Coturnix japonica: one gene and its partners. The protein of the gene in region 1 purifies or fractionates together with the protein of each later gene. This does not show direct contact. Links are inferred from orthologs where the notes say so. Each region holds a gene or a part of one and is shown in the gene's direction. Other genes may lie near its edges. The genes, in order: ZMYND8, KDM5A, MTA3, MTA1 and ZNF687.

Evidence for each region.
Region 2: the proteins of ZMYND8 (region 1) and KDM5A purify together in Homo sapiens (affinity purification with mass spectrometry; 3 studies listed by BioGRID and IntAct, with this or other methods). This does not show direct contact. The link is inferred for Coturnix japonica from reciprocal best matches to the Homo sapiens genes ZMYND8 and KDM5A.
Region 3: the proteins of ZMYND8 (region 1) and MTA3 purify together in Homo sapiens (affinity purification with mass spectrometry, with the first as the bait; 3 studies listed by BioGRID). This does not show direct contact. The link is inferred for Coturnix japonica from reciprocal best matches to the Homo sapiens genes ZMYND8 and MTA3.
Region 4: the proteins of ZMYND8 (region 1) and MTA1 purify together in Homo sapiens (affinity purification with mass spectrometry; 3 studies listed by BioGRID and IntAct, with this or other methods). This does not show direct contact. The link is inferred for Coturnix japonica from reciprocal best matches to the Homo sapiens genes ZMYND8 and MTA1.
Region 5: the proteins of ZMYND8 (region 1) and ZNF687 purify together in Homo sapiens (affinity purification with mass spectrometry; 4 studies listed by BioGRID and IntAct, with this or other methods). This does not show direct contact. The link is inferred for Coturnix japonica from reciprocal best matches to the Homo sapiens genes ZMYND8 and ZNF687.

The regions. Positions count from the first base shown.
Region 1 is NC_029535.1:5,095,500-5,099,009, reverse strand, and holds part of ZMYND8 (protein kinase C-binding protein 1), read left to right. Parts: intron 1-43; coding exon 44-157; intron 158-1,790; coding exon 1,791-1,883; intron 1,884-2,573; coding exon 2,574-2,661; intron 2,662-3,092; coding exon 3,093-3,148; intron 3,149-3,510. UniProt on the Homo sapiens protein: Chromatin reader that recognizes dual histone modifications such as histone H3.1 dimethylated at 'Lys-36' and histone H4 acetylated at 'Lys-16' (H3.1K36me2-H4K16ac) and histone H3 methylated at 'Lys-4' and histone H4 acetylated at 'Lys-14' (H3K4me1-H3K14ac).
Region 2 is NC_029516.1:52,328,288-52,332,510, forward strand, and holds the start of KDM5A (lysine-specific demethylase 5A), read left to right. Parts: upstream 1-1,422; 5' UTR 1,423-1,911; coding exon 1,912-2,076; intron 2,077-4,006; coding exon 4,007-4,084; intron 4,085-4,223. Other genes in the region: CCDC77 (coiled-coil domain-containing protein 77), read right to left, coding at 214-421, 606-652. UniProt on the Homo sapiens protein: Histone demethylase that specifically demethylates 'Lys-4' of histone H3, thereby playing a central role in histone code. Does not demethylate histone H3 'Lys-9', H3 'Lys-27', H3 'Lys-36', H3 'Lys-79' or H4 'Lys-20'.
Region 3 is NC_029518.1:21,251,517-21,255,553, forward strand, and holds the start of MTA3 (metastasis-associated protein MTA3), read left to right. Parts: upstream 1-1,233; 5' UTR 1,234-1,343; coding exon 1,344-1,371; intron 1,372-3,119; coding exon 3,120-3,187; intron 3,188-4,037. UniProt on the Homo sapiens protein: Acts as a component of the histone deacetylase NuRD complex which participates in the remodeling of chromatin.
Region 4 is NC_029523.1:3,968,272-3,972,383, reverse strand, and holds the start of MTA1 (metastasis-associated protein MTA1), read left to right. Parts: upstream 1-1,306; 5' UTR 1,307-1,553; coding exon 1,554-1,581; intron 1,582-2,058; exon of another isoform or gene 2,059-2,073; coding exon of another isoform or gene 2,074-2,092; intron 2,093-4,112. UniProt on the Homo sapiens protein: Transcriptional coregulator which can act as both a transcriptional corepressor and coactivator. Acts as a component of the histone deacetylase NuRD complex which participates in the remodeling of chromatin.
Region 5 is NC_029540.1:2,270,664-2,274,647, forward strand, and holds the start of ZNF687 (zinc finger protein 687), read left to right. Parts: upstream 1-1,178; 5' UTR 1,179-1,307; intron 1,308-3,984. Other genes in the region: PSMD4 (26S proteasome non-ATPase regulatory subunit 4), read left to right, coding at 151-318. UniProt on the Homo sapiens protein: May be involved in transcriptional regulation.

The DNA.
Region 1 (3,510 bases):
TAGAAATGTTACTGACACAATATCTTTTCATGCTAATTTTTAGAAAATCACAGTTGCAGAATGCATAGAAACACAGAGTAAAGCTATGACAATGCTCACCACTGAACAGCTATCGTATTTGCTGAAGTTTGCACTACAGAAAATGAAACAGCCAGGGGTAAGGAAGATTTCTTTTTTAATGCTTGTTTTGTATGTTTGTCATAATATTGGGTTTTGCTTCTTTTTGTTGATCTGAATCTAGCTTATTTTATCAGGTTCTCTGCCATGTACCACCCGCATATTACAAACAGCCTAGTTCAGACTGTGTATGCTGTTTTGGAATGCATGCAAAACACAGTTCCTTGATGCAGCTTCTAGTGATAGTTTCAGTGGATGCAGTGAAGATACAGCATAGCTTCCCAATGGGAATTTGTGCTTTCTCACTCACTGAAACTGAGCAATGCTGTGTCAAGTAATTAATTATAACCTTTAAAAACCTGGCTTTCCTCTGGTTAGTAGGAATTGTTCTCACCACAAAAATTAGTTCTATCGTATACTTGGGAAACACTGAAGAATTTTTTCTCAGTGACATCCTGTGCCACCAACTTGCGTACTGTAGGAATCTGCATGAACTTCTATCACAGAGGGAAAATGTTGTTTCCTCTAACTTTTACTAGTCTGTCTCAGTGTCTGTCTCAGACTTAACCCTCAAAATCATCAGTGCCTCCTGAGTGTTTCACATATTCCAGTCCCTCATTCTTTCTTCAAATTTCTGATTGCTCATTTTTCACTATACAAGCTTTGACTAGTTTTCACATGTGGGAAGAAAAAAAGTGTAGTAAGATGTTTTAATGGATTGTCATGGCTTATTTGAGCTCCTATTGCTATCCTGTCCCTGTAAATAAATTAGAGGAGTCTCTGTGCTTTACATACAGTAAAATATATTGGAAAAACCAGATGTGTGGAAGGAATCATGGCTGCTTTACAGCTCTGGTGTCTGCATGATAAATATTTTATCAGAAAAATAGTGACAGTTTCTGGGAAGGTTACTCTCTAATGTCGATAAACTTCAACTCTTGGAGTAGTTTAACTCTGGAGTGGTAAGTAGCCTCCTCTTAGGAGTCAATAGAAGCTTTAAATGCTGCTTTTCAGAAGCAAAGTATCAGTGTTTGTTTATTTTGAGTTGACAAAATATTTTGAATGTGCAGCTAGAAAGGCAATGTTTAATGAATGCTATGGGGATATTTTGCCCTTTAGATACTTACCTGCTGTTGTGGTGTCTGATAGCTTTATTTGGCTGTGTTCAGAGAACTGCAGCCCTTCCACAACAGCAGATAAAGTGTGGAGTCCCACTGATGGAAGTTTGACCTTATCTGCAAGACACCATTGCTCTGACAGTTCTGAGACTCAGAAATAATTTTATCAGTCTCGGAACTTTCAGAGTTATCTAGAGTTAGAAATAACTTTGTCAAACTCTAGATAAGGGGAGTATTTACTCTACTAAAAACTATCTGCTGAGCCTCAGCTAATGCTCTGCTCAAGAAAGAACTACTGTAAATAAGAACAGTCCGTTTTACAAAACCCCCAAGGCTTGTAATTCATTACTTCCAGCACATGGAGAATCAGCAATGTGAGGGCATTGATTTCCTCATTTTGCCAGTACTGTGTTAGTTCACAAATTTTTACTATTACTTTTAAAGAATTTTCTCTGATACCACAGTTGAAAGTAGTATTAGAAAAAGAGTGACTATTGAGTTGTTGATGAAATTGTTCAGTATGAAGAAGCAGTGTGATTTGTTTTCTCCTCACAGACAGAGCCATTTCAAAAGCCAGTTTCACTGGATCAACACCCAGATTATGCAGAATATATCTTTCATCCAATGGACCTTTGTACATTAGAGAAGGTTTGTATAAGGCAAAGACCTTTTGAGTTTGATGCTATGGTTAAGCTTTCTGGGTTCTTTGATGAGAGGAAGAGAGATTGCTTGAAATTATTTAAGTGTTTTGATTACAGTTTTGTTATTGTAAAACAACAATGTGCCAATTGAATGTGTCTGTTACAGTCTGAGCTAATAGTAAATGCTCAGGAAAAGCAGTATATGATTTGCCTTGGGACCAGCTGAATGTATGACCAGAGGTCATTCCAGGCTCATTTGCTGATCAAACATTAGAACTTACAGATGTAATAAATACTAGAATATCTGCTGCTGAGATGTGGGAGAAGAAAACAGTAAAGAAGTGGATTACAGGAGTTTGTCGGTTTAGTAATAAGTTAAATGTTTCAAGTTACAAAGTTCTTCATTCCCTGTTGCTTTAATAATAGTATAGCAATGCAGAGCTTTGTTGTGGTAGTGCCTGGTGATGAGTCCTTATTCTCTACGCCCTGGGAGCAGAGATCAGTGTCTTTGTGGCATAAAGGTGTAACAAATCCATGTCACTGATTTGATCTAACTGAATTACTTCACCCAGCTGTTGGGCTGAAATACCAAAAACTGGCTTATGGAGTACAGAAAATATTTTTTTTTCTGGGTTCAGGAAGATGCGAGTTTTACTCATATCTGTTTCCTGATACGTTTTTAAATGTTTCTTTCCAGAATGTTAAAAAGAAAATGTACGGTTGCACTGAAGCATTTTTGGCTGATGCCAAATGGATTTTGCACAACTGCATTATTTACAATGGGGGTAAGCACAGATATGGTGAAAGTATCTTCCTGCTAAATGCTGTAGTTTTAAACATGACTATTTTAAAAAAAAACAAAAAACAAAAAAACCTACATTTACACTTAATAGCAAATACTGCCTATGCTGTCCCTTTCTCAGTAGGAGAGCTAACTGAGGACATGTCCATTACTGAGTAGTGTGTCACAGCTGGGCAGGCTGCAACAGGCATAAAAAGGGAATGCACAAAGATTTTTCTGTGCTGTGTTTGCTGGGAAGAGCCTGTCACTGCTTCTACAAGCATGTGTTTGATATCTACCTGTTTTGCATTGTCTTTTCTGATGTTCTATGTTGTCTTCAACATAAACTTTTTATAACTAAAACCTGTTGATTTTTATCATCATTTTATACTAATGGTTTGCTTGCTTAGAGCATTTTTCTTATTGTCTCCTCAGGAAATCACAAATTGACACAAACAGCAAAAGTCATCATCAAAATCTGTGAGCATGAGGTATGTGGACCGCAGGGAATCTGGTTGTTCTATCTGTATTTTTGAAGTATTCCATTGCTTGTATTTGTGATTGAAATGTTTCCTAATGTGTGTGTTACAAACTATACTTTGTGTAGGGGATGCATATCCATGCCTTATAGAAGGCTTTTGACAAGGGCATTGCTAATAATACTTCCATTAAGGTACTCACCGTATGTGATAAAGGTCACAGCGATGGGAGAGAAGATGTGTGGGATCTGCACAAGGACACCTGTCTTCTAAATGGATGCTTGGAGGTGGAAGAAGAAACAGATGTTCTGATTTGTAGGCGTGTTTGAGGTGGTTCATTTGATGTCCCAGTACAAAAGCCCTGTGATTAAATG
Region 2 (4,223 bases), on another chromosome or scaffold:
CCAAACATACACCTTTACTAGATCAGGTTGCCCAGGGCCCCGTCCAACCTGGTCTTGAACACCTCCAAGGACGGGGCATCCACAACCTCCCTGGGCAGCCTGTTCCAGGGCCTAACCACTCCTAGTAAAGAACTTCCCCCTAACATCCAACCGCTTGTTGGTTTGGTGGCTTTTTTTTGTTTGTTTGTAATCAAATAAGGCTCTTTTCCTAACCTGCTCATCGTATGTTTCTTTATACTTCTCCAGCCTTTTTACCAGATCCTCATGCTCCTCATCAAAGTCAGCAATCCTCTTGCGGTAATATTCCAGCAGCTCCCGGGAAGGGCGAAGGAAGGCCAGGCGTTCATTGATGGAAGGGAGAGGAGTGGAGTCCCCTTTACTCCGAGGCTGAGATCTGGATGTGCTGTGAGGGGTCGCCAGCCTAGAAATAACAGAACACAGGAGATGGGGAAAACTTACAGAAAAGGGAGGAAGTTGGCAGGGTAAGGGGGGTCCCACGGCTCATTTAGGAAAGGTGAGTTGGAAAGGAAGGTGGTAAGAAAAGGAGATGAAGGAAGACAAAGGAGTTTCGCAGTTACAAGCAGTACCACAGCACCACACGGTACCTTCTGGAGCGCGAGAAGCGCCTAGCCGAACCGCCCGCAGCGCTCATGGACAACAACGCCGGTTACCACTCAAACAGCGTACAGACCCGCCGCCCACCCAATCTACCAATCAGGAGCAGCCTTCCACGCGCCTCCGTCTGTCTCTACCAATCAGTACTCGCGACACGGACAGCACGCGTCTCTCGCTGGCGCCTGTGGGAGTTGTAGTTTTGGGAGGGGTCCTGCAGAGCTCTGATCCAAGTGTGTTATTTGACATCACTTACGTGCTTTTATCACCCATTTGATGCCCACGCCTCAGGTATCTTTATACACAGCGATCACAGTATCACAGTATCGTGTGGGTCGGAAGGGACCTTAGAGATCATCGAGTCCAACCCCCGGGATTCGAGCCTCTGTGTAGCACAGCGGCACTTCTACCTCTTGCCCCACAGGGGGATTCGAACCCAGGGCCCTGGTGTTACAACGCGGCATTCCTACCACTGCGCCACCGGGGCGCACAGCGATGTTCCCTGTATCTTCCCTATATCACCCAGCGCTACCATCCAGGTCCATACACAGGGGGTACCACGGAGACACCTGAGTTAAAACAGCTCCTCCCCTCCCCCGCCCTCGGGCCCGACAGCCCCAGTCCATGGCGGGGCCGGCCCTCCCCCCTGACGTCCTGCTCACACAATGGGCGAGCCGGCCCCTCAGCACGGGAAGTGAACGGCTCTCAATAGCGTCGCACATTCCTCCGCGCAGGAAGTGGAGGCGGCCCCTTCCCCCCCCGACCCCAATTCCCCTCCCCCCGGCCGCTCCGGCCGCCACGCCGCACGATTCAGCTCCAAGTGCCGCCCCGAGTGCTTTTCTTTTCGGTTTCACCGGAGCAACGTCTTCTCCATTGGGTGGGGGCGGCAGGCGGCCTTTCCCTGTGCCCTGGTGGAGGGACTATTTTTCGGCTCGGAAGACGACAGCTGCTCCCTCTTCCGGAGGAGGGTTGAAAGCGGCCGCGTAACTTCCGGACGAGCTGGAACGCGAGCCAGAGGGGCTCGGCGCGGGGGGAGCCGACCCCGGGGGACGGGGCGACGACGACGACACCCGGCAGGAGCCGCCCCCGCTGCCCCCGCCGCCCCGCCCCGGCTTACCCTGCCCTGCCCTGTCCGGCCCTGCCCTGCCTCTGCCTTGCTCCGGCCGCCGGAGGATGCGCCTCGGCCGCCGGCCCTGCCCCGCCGGCCGCCCCTGAGGGCCGCCCCTGTGTGGCCGTGCCTCGGTGCCGCTCCCCGCCCCCCTCCCGCAGCCGGCAGCGCCTTCCCCCCCCTCCTCAGCCATGGCGGGGGGCGGCGGGTCGCGCTACGCGGCCGAGTTCGTTCCCCCGCCCGAGTGTCCCGTCTTCGAGCCCAGCTGGGAGGAGTTCAGCGACCCGCTCGGTTTCATCGGCCGCATCCGTGGCTTGGCCGAGAAAACCGGCATCTGCAAGATCCGGCCCCCCAAGGTACCGCCCGCCTGGCGCGGGGGTAGGGCGGGATGCAGCCGGGACCGGGGGAAGCCGGCGGCTGTGGGGCGCGGCGGGCGGCTGGAGAGGGCCGGGCTCTGTCCATGGGCGGCCCCCGGGGTCGGGAGCCCCTTCCTCCGCTCCTCGAGTGTTTCCGGCCCAGTTTGCGGTACTCGCTGCGGTTGGGATCCCCCTGAGGCTGTTGAGTTCCCGTGCCCCGGTTGCGGGGTTCCGTTTGTCCCCTTCCTCAGGTTACGTCGAGGGCGCAGAGACCCTGACTTGCGGAAACAAACTCTATAATCCAGAGATGGGTTATAAAGCATATATGCGATCCTTGTACTTAGAAGTGGTTTTGAAGCGGGTGAGAAGCCCGTAGGCACGGCCAGGGCCTGGGCTTGACACTCTTCTTGCTTTAAAAACCAGCAAACAGCGTGTCGGAAAGCTGCAGTGCGTTGTAGCTGAAAGTAGGCATTTACACTGTAAGAGCTGGGGGGTGGGGAGGGAGGAGGAAGGACGGGCCTTGCAAGGGGGCCATTGTTTGTAAACAGCCTTCAGGCTGTTGGTGGAAGTGCGGCCACCCTGGTTGTGCGCAGGAGTTTAGTGTTGGTGTTAGCAGGTTAGAAAGCAGGAGCTGAATAATATCTCCAATGGCCTGGTGCAGAAAGGAGTGTTTTATGATGCCTTGTTCTGTGACCGTTCAGACAAGAACATCAAGCAACGCAGGAGCTCAGAGCCTTCTTCATAATTAAGTACAAATTAACCTATAAAATAGGAGAGTGGAAAATAACGAAGGAGAGAGAAAAAGAATGTGGAAAAAAAAGGAGCTAAGGGTAGCCTGGCTATGGAGACTGCCAATTAGATTCTATGATCCTTCCTTTCCCGATCCACAGGGTTACTGGAATCTTTTTAGGTGGTTTAATGTCATGGTTAAATCTTGACCTCCAAGGGGCTGGCTTTTCTAAAATAAGCAGAATGGCTTAAGGTTTTGGGAGAGGCCACGGGGAACTGATCCAGATCCGATTCATTGAGAGCACCTAGAACTTTCCTAGCCACTGAAGGCTGCAGTGTTTCTCTCTGAGTGTTTGACCACTGTTGTTGCAGGGCTTTGCTGGATGTGTGCATCAGGTTGGTTTGCGACATACAAGATAGAGCTAAGTCGGACACCTGGTGCTAAACTTGCTGATTTGCAATTCTTTTCCATTATTAGAATCTGTAAATATTTTGCAGTTGTGCTTGAGGCCTTTGGATGCTGCAGCCATTTTTTGTCCATCTGTAATGTTGTGTCCCTACTTTGTTGTGTTTACTGCCTGCTAAACTACCTACTGTAATTTTTAACATTTCTTAAGAGGTACTAAAAAGCTGATTTATATTTGTTTTGATGCCATAACGTGGTTTAGAGAGACGAGATGAATCTGGGTGGTGTGAGTGATTGAACCAAGTGCTGACCGTTCAAAAAGTCATTATTTAGGACTGTGCTTCCATTGAAGTGTTGGACTATTGAAATATTAATGTAGGCAAACATGGAAGAGTTACATGCATAGTATTATATGTTATTTGGTGTTTATCGCTGTTGATAGTGACAGTTTTGCAGTGTGCAGGAAATACAGAACTTTCCCTCTTTGAATAAATGCCAACAAGCAGCACAATCTCTGTCTCAATTGAGAGCCTGGTTTGAGATGGGCTATGCTGAATTTCATCAAGCCTTATTTTCTTGCTCACTTCTAACTTTGTGAAGGCTTCTTTCGTCTGACTAAAATGTTGTGAGAACTTTTTAGAAGCACGATAATAGCACAAAACTGGAAAATATTACAAATCCTGCTGAAACTCGTTTACTAGGAGGAGTCTGAATGACCAAGTTATGAAGGTTTTCTGTGCCTTTTTTTTAGTTAAGTTTCTTGAAACACTAAAACGTCTTTCTGTCTCTCCTTAGGATTGGCAGCCTCCATTTGCTTGTGAAGTGCAGAGTTTTCGTTTCACTCCACGAATTCAGCGCCTGAATGAACTGGAGGTGAGCCTTTCCACTGTTGATACAGTTCTGTGTTTACACTGCAAGCTGTAGGTCTCCCTGCTTGAGATTTACATCTTGTCAGGTTTCTGTGTGGGGAGACTTTAGAAACCTGAAGACCGCATTAGTGTTTATACTTGGC
Region 3 (4,037 bases), on another chromosome or scaffold:
TCCTGCCTTCAACATCTAACCTCAGTTTCACTAACCAGGCAGTAAACCGCAGGAATGAAAATAACCCCCACCTAACTTCTAACCACTTCTATTTGGGTCCATGGCATGGTAGTGCTGTTGTGTCTGGGGAGAACCAGCTGGATAGAGCTGCAACCTCCCATGGGCTTTCTGTCAGCTCTCACTGATGTTCCTGTCAGGAGGCAAAATAGAGGATGATACCAGATCTTTCATTTCAATGCCTGAGTTCGTTGCTGTTTAATAAAGAGGACCACCTGACTGTGTGTTTTGCTTACCAGGTGCACATCATTCAGCAGCTCTGTAGTTTGTTTCACTCAAAGCAGCGTTTCAGAAAGTTAAATATGCAGTAAAAGAAGCCTTCATCTAATCGGCCCTGATTCACGGAAAGGGATAAAGTGAGGAGAGACCACTTGAAACACTGGGGAATTCATTTTTTTCCTCTCAGGATGAACTGAAAATCTTGCTTGGTACTGTTGAGTTGCATTCAGAAAAATCTGGGGTGTGAAACGTGTAACAAATCATCACCATCCTGGCAAGAGAAATGATAAAAAGCCCTTCTCCTCGAAGGGAGCAGCACAAAATTGGCCATAAAGTATATAGTTTGTGGTGGTGTAGATCCTATACAAACACAGGGAGGTGCCTTCCTGTAATATCAACACCGATGTTTTTCAGGCACCCCCCTCATCAGGTGATCTGAGAGCAGCTCCTTCAGCTCTTAGTTAAGCTGCGGGATCTACCTTTGTCTTGTCGGGGATGCTTTCTGCCGCCCCTCGCCGAGCACAGCAGGCAGCTTAAGAAGCCCCAAAGCGAGCTCCCGGGTCACATCCCGCTCTTTGTATGGAGACAAACCCTCTCCCAATCGATCATCAACAGGTGCTGCGCGCACACGCGTGCCAAACTTTCCCCCAGCTGCCGCAAGTAGCCGCCCACGGGGAGAGTGAAGCCACTTGGTTGCAGGGAACAAAGACCCGAGTGGGGCACAGTCACAATGCGGCAAAGGGGTTCAGCCGCAGCACACCGACCCCCAGAGGGAAGCCCCATCTGCGGCCGCACCCCCGAGGAGCCGGCAGGCTGCGGCTGAGCCCCAACACCCGACCCAGGGTCGGTGTGTGCGCCGAAGGGGAGGCGGCATGGGCGGTTTTTAACCCCTTCCCCGCCGGGCGGCTCCGGAAGCGGCGGCCCCTCGAGGCGCGGCGCTGTGTCCTGTGCCCGGGCGGGGAGGGCTGGCTCAGGGTGGGGGCGAGAGCGGGGCGGGGGGGCCGCGGGAGCCGCTCCCTCCTCGCCCAGCCCGGCCCGGCAGCGGGAGGAGGGCGCAGAGCGCAGACATGGCGGCCAACATGTACCGAGTGGGAGGTAGGTAGCGGCGGGGCAGCGACCGCGGCTCCGCGCCCCGCAGCGCTCCCCACCCGCCGGGCTGCGAAGGGGCTCCCCGGTCCCCTCGCCTTCCTTCTGCGGCGCCGCGACCCCGAGCGGGGCACCCGAGCCGTGCCCGGGGGGGAAGCGGAGGACGCAGGTTCCTCCCCGCAGCCCCGCGCGCAGGGTGGGAGGCCGCCCCGCGCCGAGCGGCACAAGGGCAGCGCCGCCCTCCGCAGGGAAGGAAGGAAAGAGGGAGCGGCGGCGCCGGCTTCTTCCCGGGCCGGGCATGGCCGCCCTTTGCGCCTCTCGCCGTGGCCGTGCGGGCTTGGGCGGCCTGGCGGGCGCTGCGCCCCCGGCTCTCTGGCACGGCCGGGCCCGGCCCTGCTGCGGCCTGGCGGGCCCGGGCGGCGTGGTGCGGGCAGGAGGCGTGGGATGAGCCCTCCGAGTTCCTGCGCGCCTCCCTGCATCTCTTGGAGATGAATTACGCATCCGCACGGGTAGATGGAGGGGATCTGCCGGCCGGGTTAGGTCGCTGGTAGATGGCCGCTTGGCGTACGGCGGGAGCGAGGAGTCGCTTGGGAGCAAAACAAGCATTGGGTTTCCCACCCCCAACCCGTCGAAACTGACTCTGATAACTTTCCATCCCCCCCTCCTTCTCCCCCGCCGTGGAATGAACGTGGCACTGTTCCGGTGCTGCCGCTCAGGTGCAGCGCAGAAAGTTCGCTTTTCACTCCTGGCTCCTGTTCCTTGCTAAGCACGATGCTAACAGGGAGCCGTGCTCTCCCACCCATCTCTTCAGGCTCTTTCTGTGTCAGTTTCAAGGTGTGCTGACATACCTACCACTCGCCCTTCTGCACACTCCTTCATCCAGGCGTAGAGGCTGTAATCCCATCAGCCTTTACTCATCGCAGTAATCCCCTCCCAAGCAATGCTGTTGACATCTTGGTTGGGTTTGTTTCTTAGGTCATCATTGAGTCCCCGTTTTTTTTCTGCTGTGACCTTAAGGGTGAGCAACAGAGACCTTACTCTTCCTTCAGTGATATTTGAGCTTCCTGAGGCTCTGCTTGGCTTTAACCTCATGTCAAAGCATAGCAAAAGGTTTTATACATCCATATGGTTCCTCTAACTCCCTATTCTTTTTAAATAAAACTTGTGAGATACACCATGCAATAAGTCAGATACTGAGTGCAGAATGTGATTGTCATTCAGTGGCTACTTTTTTGTTTGATGCAGGTTTTGGGAAACCTACAGAAGAAAATGTTTTTTGTGTTGGTTTTTTTGTTTGCGTCTTGGGAGTAGCTTTAAGGATATGAGCAGATTTCCATATACTCCATGAGAATACTCTTATTTTAATGATCCTAGTAGAGGTTTTGGCACAGGAGAACATCACGACTTGAGGCTCTGTTACTGTTGAATGTAGTTTACATGTTACTGAGCAGAGATGACAACAAAACCAAGTATCATAAAATGCACCATTACTCATCCGGACAACTGTGTTGTTGCAGCATGTGATAATGAGTGTGAGGTAACATATGTTACACAGGTATTATTCCTATAATCTAGAAACTAGCTAAGACCTATCTTCTTAAATCTCCCTTAAAGACAGAATGGTTGAAGTTGGGAAGGACATCTGCAGGTCACCTGGAGGTCACTCTAGCTTAAAAAAAAACCTTTTGCACACACAAAAAAAGTGTTTTTAGCTGTATTATTTTTTTAAATAATACAATGTCTTTTTTTTATTGCAGATTATGTTTATTTTGAAAATTCCTCCAGCAATCCATATCTCATTAGGCGAATTGAAGAGCTTAACAAGGTATGCAAACATCCAAAGTTCCTGCTTAGTTTTCTGCAGCTTTCAATGCACTTTTCCACAACTGAGGGTGAATTAAACATCCCGACAGATTTCAATTGGTAGAATTTCCTGCATCTTTTTTTTTACTTCTTTAGGATTTGTTATGCATTTGTTTGTATTTCAGGTATTAAAACCTTGCTGTGTGATAAGTTGCAATTCCACCCTGTTATCTAAGGAAACGCCCAGTTTAACATTCACAGTGAACAGGAGTTCCCTGTTGTTAAAAGGAAAAAAAAAATAAGAAAGAAAAAAAAGAAAATCCAAACCAATCATGTGGATGATTGAGGAAGTTACTAAATTTAATTCTTTTCATGATGCTGAGGCTGAATCCATCTGGAGTGATAGCAATAATGTAATGTGTCTGCTTCTGGATATGTAGGTAAAGACTTGTCGGTGTCAGTGAGACTTTTCAGTGATCCAGTAACAATACGAGGCTCCTGTGGATGTTTCTTACATTGCTTTTTGTGAGTGGAGGCTTGTGAATTGAAATTGAGACTGTATTCTCTGTCTTTATGCCGCGTGTATTTTTATATAGGGTGTGGAGCTTTTTCAGTGTGTAGGAAAGGCACAAATATTTCTTAGTTCTGATACTACTATAACTATTAAAAATAATAAAGCAGTGTAATTAATTACTTATTAGTATAATAAACTTATGTAAAAAGTTAACAAGCAAAATGCTTATCATGATGTAAATAAGGATGATATATATATGTGTGTAAATATAAATATATGGCTAATTTATCTTGTAAGCTGAAGTTAATTTTTAAACACACCATGTCATATAAAATATGACTGGAAAAAAATGTTGAAG
Region 4 (4,112 bases), on another chromosome or scaffold:
TGTGTACGTGTGAAAGGAGCGCTGGGTGTGTTTCGTGTTGGTTTGTGTCTTGGTGTAACTTTGTACACCCCAATTCACCGGGTTACACCGGAGGGAGACAGTAACGCTGCTGGGAGAAGGGCTCCCACCTTGCTTGGAGATGAGGGCTCCTTGTGGCACTGACCTGGTTTGACTGTGCTGGTGAGCAGATGAGATGGGTTTTGTGGTGTCGTGCTGCACCTTGTGCTTGTTGGTCCTTTGGGTTTCTGGAGATAAAGGCTCGTCCCCAGCTCTGTGGATTGGTCACCTGCTGCCCGTGCCAGCGGGAAGCAGCTCACACAGGAAGGCCCCACCTGGTCCTTTCCCACCAGCAACAGGCACGGAGGGAGCAGCACAGAGCCAGGATTGGGGCATTGCACGTTGTGGCTCAAAGCTCGAAGGGAAGACCCTGTAGAGAGGGGCTGAGCTGATGGCTGCTGCTGGGTGTGCAGAGGTGGGGGGTCCTGGAGCAACAGTGGGTGCGATGCTTCTGTCCCCAACCAGCGGGTCCTTGGTTTCCATAGGGAATAGCACTGCTCTGCAGCACTGCGGGGCAATGGGGAAGCGCTGTGCTGCCATGGATGCTGTGTGCTGTGCTAACAGCCCTGCCCGGCCCGCAGCACTCGAGGGCGCGTTACCACTTTGTAGACTCCCGAGTTGTCCATCTGTTTCATTGTCGTCTTGTTTGGGTTCTCGGTTGTTTCTTTTTATTTTTATGACGAAAGTTCAAATGTAAATAGCCTTTCTTGGTTGTTTTTTGTTTTGTTTTGGGTTTTTTTTGTTGGTTTATTTTTTTGGTTTTTTTTTTTTTTTTGAACAAACTGCAACGTGCTCGACCTCGTCAACTATTTTATGGTACTAATGCAACACTAATAAAACTGGACATGAAAGCACATCCCCGTCCCTGGAGTCATCTGTCAGCAGGGGCTGTTTGGCAGGAGGAGCCGCTGGGTGTCACAGCCGGCACAGGGGGATGGATACAGGGGTGGGAGCGGGGGGAACCGAGCCTGGCGAGAGGGCAGGGGTGAGCTGCTAAGGGCTGGGCGGTGCGGGCTGTAGGTGCGTATTGCGGCTCGTTGTCCTCCCTTGTGGCTGGCAGCACGCGAGGACACGCGGTGCTGAGCGTGAAGCCCGTCGCTCCGCCCGTCGCCGCTGGGCTCCCCCAGGCCGGGCGCGGCGCTCTCCGCCCCACGCTGCGCTCCGTGCCGGCCGCCTCCTTCCTTCCTTCCTTCCCTCCCTCTCTCCTTCCCTCCCTCCCTCCTTCCTTCCCTCCCTCTCTCCTTCCCTCCCTCTCTCCTTCCCTCCCTCCCTCCCTTCGCTCCCGTCCCGCCGCCGCCCCGCCTTCCTCCCGCCGCCCTCCCGCCTTCCTGGAGCGGCCGGGCGGCAGCCGGCGCGGCCCCTTTAATTCCCCCCGCTCCCCTCCCCCGCCCGGCCGTTTCAGCCTCCATTTTCCAGCGGATCCGGCACCTGGAGGAGGAGAAGGAGAAGGAGGAGGAGGCGGCGGGAGCGGCCCGCGCCCCGCACCCGTCCCGGGCATGGCCGCCAACATGTACCGGGTGGGAGGTAGGCGCTGCCCCCGGACCGAGGACCGGCCCGGCCGCGTGCGGGCGGCGCTGCGGGCCCGGCGGGCCGAGGATCCGGCGTTGGGGCGAGGCCCGGCCCGGGGCGGGGCGGCGGGGGTAGGCCGCGAGCGGGGGCGGCCTGGGGGGGGGATGGAGGCCGCGCGGGAGGCCGGGCCCGAGCGGGGAGGACGGGGGGGAAGTCGGGAGTGAGGATGGCGGCGGGGTGAAGCGGGGTGAAGGGGCGGCGCGGGGAGACCGAGGGGCCGCGGGGGGCGGCCCTGGGTGGAGCGGGCGGAGGTTGGGGCCCACCCGGGAACGGCTGCGCGGGGATGGGGCCGCCAGGGGCCGCCGGGCCGTGGGTCGGGCCTCTCCCCGTGTGCCATCCCGGCCCGGCGCCCATGGGCCGCTCGTCCTTTGTTTTAACTCTCGAGGAGAGGAGAGGAGAGGAGAGGAGAGGAGAGGAGAGAGGCGGCGGGGTCCGGCGTGCGATGTGATGGAGTATCAACAGCCGGGTGGGCCGGCGTGGCTTTGCGCTCAGCCATTTTCCTTTGCGAGAAATGTTGTGCGGAACTTCCTTCTCCCCGCGTCCGTGGGGCTCCGGGGCAGCCCTTTGTGATGGGCTGCAGTAAACACGCAGTAAAGTAAACGGAGGGGAAAAAAATACAGCGGAGGTGTCCGAGCCGCCCTGCCCGGCTGCTCGCCATCCTTCGCTACTTTCTGTTCTGTCTGCCTTTCTGGGCCGGCCTCACTCCGTGCCTCCTTTGTGGCAGTGTGGTGCGGTGTTGGTTTACAGATGGATGATGAGCTGTGCCTCTGGGCCGGCCTGCCGCTGCTTCCTGTGCTGCCCCGGCAATGGATGCGCGTGTGGAGCCGTGTGTTGGGTTGTGGTGCTCAGAGGACAGGGATGGAGTTGAGCCTTGTGAACTTACGGCTGGGATGCTGGTGTGAATGGCAAAGGGAATCGCTGTTTGGTGTTTAATATCGTGTATGTGAGTCCTGAGTGCTGTACTGGTGTGTATCTTGCATGGTACCTGTACTGTGTGCCCCGTAGGCTTGTACAGGCAGTGGGAAGGGGCCCGTGCTGGAGATGTATAGGCTGCTTGCTGTTGCAAGTCAGCTCATTGCACAGCAATGGGTAAGTGCAGCCCAGCCGGGGTATTGCTACGGATGATGATGCTGGGATGGTGTCCTTGGTCTGGGCCCATCCCGGTGCTGGATCATACTTACAGCAAATGAACCCATCCTTGTGCTGGGGTGGTGTTGGTGTGTTGCCAGTACCCAGCAGCAGGCGGAACCCGGCCTCTCTCTGGCTGCACTGCTGAGGCCATGGTGAGCGGTGCTGGGCAGCTGTGCTGTGAGGCTGCATGCTGCCACTTGGGCAGTTGTTTTTCCAGGTGTCTTTGTAGAGCCGCTCCGTAGTCCTGCTGTGCTCCTGCAGCTGCCCACCCCAGGTGCAGGGTTCCCTTGGCCTTAGGTGAACTTAGTGAGGCTCTTGGCATCCCTTTTCCCGGCCTGTTGAAGTTCCTTCAAACAGCAGCCCTGTCCTCCAGTGTGTGCCACGTCTCTCACAGTTCCCCACATGTCCACAGAGTGCATTCCCATCACTAGAAAGGTGATGGGAAAGGCTGTGGCCCCGTGTTGATCACATGGCTTCTCTTAGTGGCAGCCAGCTGAGGGTCGTCCCTGTGCAGCCAGCCTTCATCTCTGCAGGGAGCCCCATTGCTAGGGCATGCTGAGCCCCTGCTGTAGCCATTTGGCTGATGTCGGTCACCCCTGTGTGCTTGGGAATGGTGTCCGGGCTTTGCTCCACAACCTCCGCAGGCAGAGGGTGAGGCGCTGGCTGGTGGCCAGTTCCTGTGCTCGGGTGTTGCTCTTGTGGATGAAGCCTTGCTGGGTGTGCTGCCGAGCCCCACGTGTGGATGGATGTGGCCATTTCTGTGCTGCGGCCCCGTCCTGAGCCAAGAGGTTGCGTTGCTGGGTTGCTGCTGACCTCTGGTGCTGGTGGCTGTGTGCTGAAGTTGTGTGTGCGTTCCAGGGCGGGATTAAATCCCCAGCTGATTTGTACACGGTCACTTCGTGTACTTCCCATTGCAGGAAGAGCATCCAAGAGATAATCCACCGCTGGCCTTGTGGTTACCAGTCGCGTGCGTGAACTGCAGACCTGACAGCTGCCAACAGCAGCCTGTGTGATGGAGATCAATAACACTCCTGGAAGCGCACGTTGATCGCTTTTGGCCGGCTTGTGAAACGCTGTGGGTTTTGCTTTTGTGATCCAATGTGTGGACTGCGCTTCTCTGACAGATGCCAGTGTTAAGTTAAGCACGTTGACAGCTGTTTGCACGGGCTCCCCGTGCAGGAGGTGCTGCAAGCTCCACTTCTGCTCTGTGCCTTCCCCAGGAGTTCAGCTGCAGCCCCAGTGTCCCAGCAGTGCTGTAACTGACAGAGCCCCGCTGCAGGTTGATCTGCTGTGTTATCCCCTTGATGCAGCACAATGACAGGTGGTTTTTTTTGTGTGCGTTTCCATCTCGCACC
Region 5 (3,984 bases), on another chromosome or scaffold:
AATATGGTATATGGGGGGGTGGTATATGGTATATGGGGGGGGTGGTATATGGTGTATGGGGGGTGTTATATGGTATATGGGGGGATGGTATATGGTATATGGGGGGTGGTATATGGGGTACACAGACACAGCCCCCCCTTTGTCCCACAGGAGGAGGATGACTACGACGTGATGCAGGACCCCGAGTTCCTGCAGAGCGTGTTGGAGAACCTGCCCGGGGTGGACCCCAACAACGAGGCCATCCGGAACGCCATGGGGTCGTTGGCCTCACAGGCCTCCAAGGAGGGCAAGGACAAGAAGGAGGAGGACAAGAAGTGACGGGGTCGGGTCGGGGCTGCGCAATAAAGGAAATAAAGTCTGAAGCTCCGCCCGGTTCCGGACCCGGTCCATGTTCCTGCCCCTATTCCCACCCTGGGGGCGGGGGCAGCGCGGAGGCCACGCCCCCTCCCCCCTTCGCGTCCCCTCCCGGCGTGCACCGCGCCGCCGCAGGATGTTTACGGCGCGGCCCGTGGGCGGGGCTGGGATGATGAGCGGCGAAGGGAACCAATGGGGGAGCGGGCTGGGGGATGTTGTAATCGATTCTGGCCAATGGGAAGAGAGAGCGGGTCGGGGCGACTCATTGGTTCTTTCAGGACGGAAGTGAGGTCGCGTTGACCAACAGGAGAGCGAGGGGGCGGGGCGAGGGCCCAGCTTCCATGAGTGACAGCGCCGCCAACAAATGGGAGAAGACGTGGTGGACCGCTTGGGGCTCCCAGCGGATGGGGTGATGGGGGGGCGGGCCTTCGCCTTGACAGACAAGCGTCTCTTCCAATGGGAAAGCAACAGCTGGGCGGTGCCCTGAGCGACGCTGCGTGTGGCCAATAGCCGTGCGCCTCCTTGATGGATGGGCACCCAACTTTGGCCAATGGCAGGAGGGAGGGGGCGGGCTTGTTTGACGAGCGCAGGTTTCAGCCAATCAGCGGGCGGGCTGCTCGCAGAGCCGCCAATAGGTCGCCGGGAGGGCGGGACCACACTTTCAATGGCTGCCCCGTCCCCCAATAGATGCCCCCTCCGGGGGCGGATCCAGCTCCGACTCCACCAATAGCGAGTGCAAGCGGCCGCGACCACCCGCGAGCGACAGCTCCGCCGACCAATGAGCGCGCCCGCAGCTACGAGTGACATCCGGAAGGTCCAATAGCCCGGCGGCGGGGGGCGGGCGTCAGGGTCCGGCGGCGCAGGGCGGGGGGCGCGGGCCAAGCAGGAAGTGCAGCGAGAAGCGGCCGCCGCAGGTTGGGCCGCAGTTGGGCCCCGCGGCCGCACAGCGCCCGGTGAGGACAACGGGGAGAGCGGGGGGGGAGCGGGAGCGGAGCCGGGGCCGGGGGCGGAGCTCAGGGCCGGGGGGAGGAGCTCAGGGCCCCGACGGGGAACCGGGGCCGCGCTGGGCGCACGGCGCTGGGCCGGGGGTGAAGGGGCTGCAGCTGGAGGGGGGGGGGCTGCGCTTCGGGCCCCGGCAGCGCCCGGTGCGACCGCGGGGCGTCACGGCGGGAGTTGGGCTGTTCGTCCCCTTTATCCCCAGGGGAATCGCGGCCCCAGCGGCCGGTAATGGCCGCGGTTGGGTGCGGGCACCGCTCGAATCGCCGCCCTTCCCCCCCCCAACAACCACCATCACCCGGCCCCTCCCCGCCCCCCCGTGTTCCCTCAGCCCCGTGGAGATGACTCTGCTCCCGCCGTTCCCCATTCCAAACCCGGGGCTCTTTGTGGTTCTCCCCCCTCAGAACGATCCGGCGTTGCGGCTCCGGGGGGTGGGGGGGGGCTCCGTTGTGCGGCCCCGCTCCGTGCTGGGCTCCGTGTTGGGCTCCGTGTTTCCATCCCCGTTTCCAGCAACGGCCTCAAAAACCCCAAAGCTGATCCCGGGTTGGGAGGGAAGCACCAACCAGGAGTAACGGGGGGGGGGGAGCCTTGACCTCAGTGGGTCAACTGGGAGCTACTGGGAGGCTCTGAGCCCACTGGGGCTGATGGGCGGCTCTGCCCATCACTTTAGGCTCGGGTGATGCCCTCTGTGTCCATGGGGGGATGTGGGGCCGCTCTGTGTCTCATTGAATCCTTCTGGAGCCCCACGGCGCTTCCCTCCGGCCTCCCTGACTTTCTTGGCAGGGTTTGAGCCGGAGGGAATGGGCTGTTTTTGTTTTGAGCTCTTGTTTTCTCCCTCTTCTCTCAGTCCCCGGGTCCCTCCCGCCCTCATTTCCCAGCAGCTCCACGCACCATCAGGGAGCAGGCGGCCTTTGGGGGGGCTGCAGTTCCTTCCCCATAACAAACTGCATTCACCAGAGGGTCTGGTGTGGTGGTGGTGGTGGGGGGGCTCATTTATGGCAGCAGCTGCCTTATCTATGGGGCAGACCACCAGGTGTGGGCACAGCTGTGGTGCTGCTGAGCCCTTTGGGGGGAGGATTGGATGCCTGCAGAGCACCTGCTGGCATTCAGAAGCTCCAGCTCAGCCCAGCCAAGTCGTCGGAGGGTTCTGGATCTGCGCCGCCGCTGCTTTGTTTGGTTCCTTCCTGCAGTCAGCAGATGGTGTGGGCTTAATTCTGGTCAACGGGCAGCACTGTAATCCCTGCGGCCGGGCTGCGGGGCCGTCTGCTCAACATGGTCAGGGGGGACCTGTGCTGTGCTGGGGGGGGAAGGACACTGAGATCACAGTGGGGTTGGGGCTGGGGGCTGCACGGCCCCTTCCGACATAGCTGTGCTGTGATCCCATGGTTCTGTGACCCATAGGGTCCCTTCAGACTCCACCTCACTGTCATCCCATGGTTCTGTGACCCATAGGATCCCTTCAGACCCAACCACACTGTGATCCTGCGGCCTTTGAGGTCTCGTCTGACCCAACCATCCCACAACTCCCTGCTGTATAACACACAGGATCAAAGCACCATGTGAGAGGTGTGGGGAGATGTGACCCCACATCCCTGTGCCCACAGATTGCAGACATCCAACGTGTCTCAGCATTGACCTCTGCTTCTCTTCCGAGCTGTTCTCTCCTCTGAAGCTCGGCTGAATCCCTTCTGGTTTTAGATGACAAAACACATGATAGGCCTGGAAATTAGCGAGGTTGGCTAACGAAGGTGGGCACTGCAGAACCAGGAGAGCCTCATTAAGTGCCGTCTCGTTAGGATGGCACCACAATCATTAGGATGGTACATTGATCATTAGGATGTGATGCTGGGGGGGGTCGGTGGTGATGTCAGCTCACTGTTAGAGATGCACTGGGGAGGGAAACAGGAAAAGCAGCTTTAAAAACAGCCCTGGAAACAGCTGCTATATGGGGCTGTGCTGGTGCTGGAGCACAGCTGTCCCCCTTCCCTTCCCCCCCACAAATGCTCTGCCCCATAGCTGAGCTGCTGGGAATGCTCCCCCTGGCAGACGGCGGCTGATGAGGATAAAAATACCCCCCCATCCCCACCCCCCCTTGGAGCTGCCTTTGTTTTGCCAAAGAAAAGTAGTTATTTTGTGCTGAAAAAAAGCCCGGCGGTCTTGTGGTTTGAGCTCCCAAAATAAGCACAAGACAGCCAGGCAGGTCGCAGTGCAGCCACGCTCTGCTGTCTGTGTGGGGGCTCCAGATGCTCCACCTGATAAAGGGGGGGGTTTGGGGTCCGGGTTTCCCCAGGGCAATCGCTGCCCTAATGAGTTGGGGGCCTTCCTGGTGCTGCTTCCTCTGCCCCATGCTGAGCAACCCCCTCCAGACGGGGCTCCCCCTGGGGGTCCTGGAAGGGACTCTGCAAGGAACAGAAACCAACAGCAGCTTCTTGCCATGGGGCTGGGAAAAAGGATATCCAAGGGAACCCCATACAAATGGGGCCAGCGGGGTACTCCCAGCAGTGCTCTGTGGGCCCCGAGGAATGGAGCACTGTGGGCTCCCACAGGGAAGGGGAGGTTTTACCCCATTGCTTTTGGGGACATGTCCAGTGTGGCAGCTTCCCTCAGCATCATGGTCAGTGTTTGTGTCCTGCT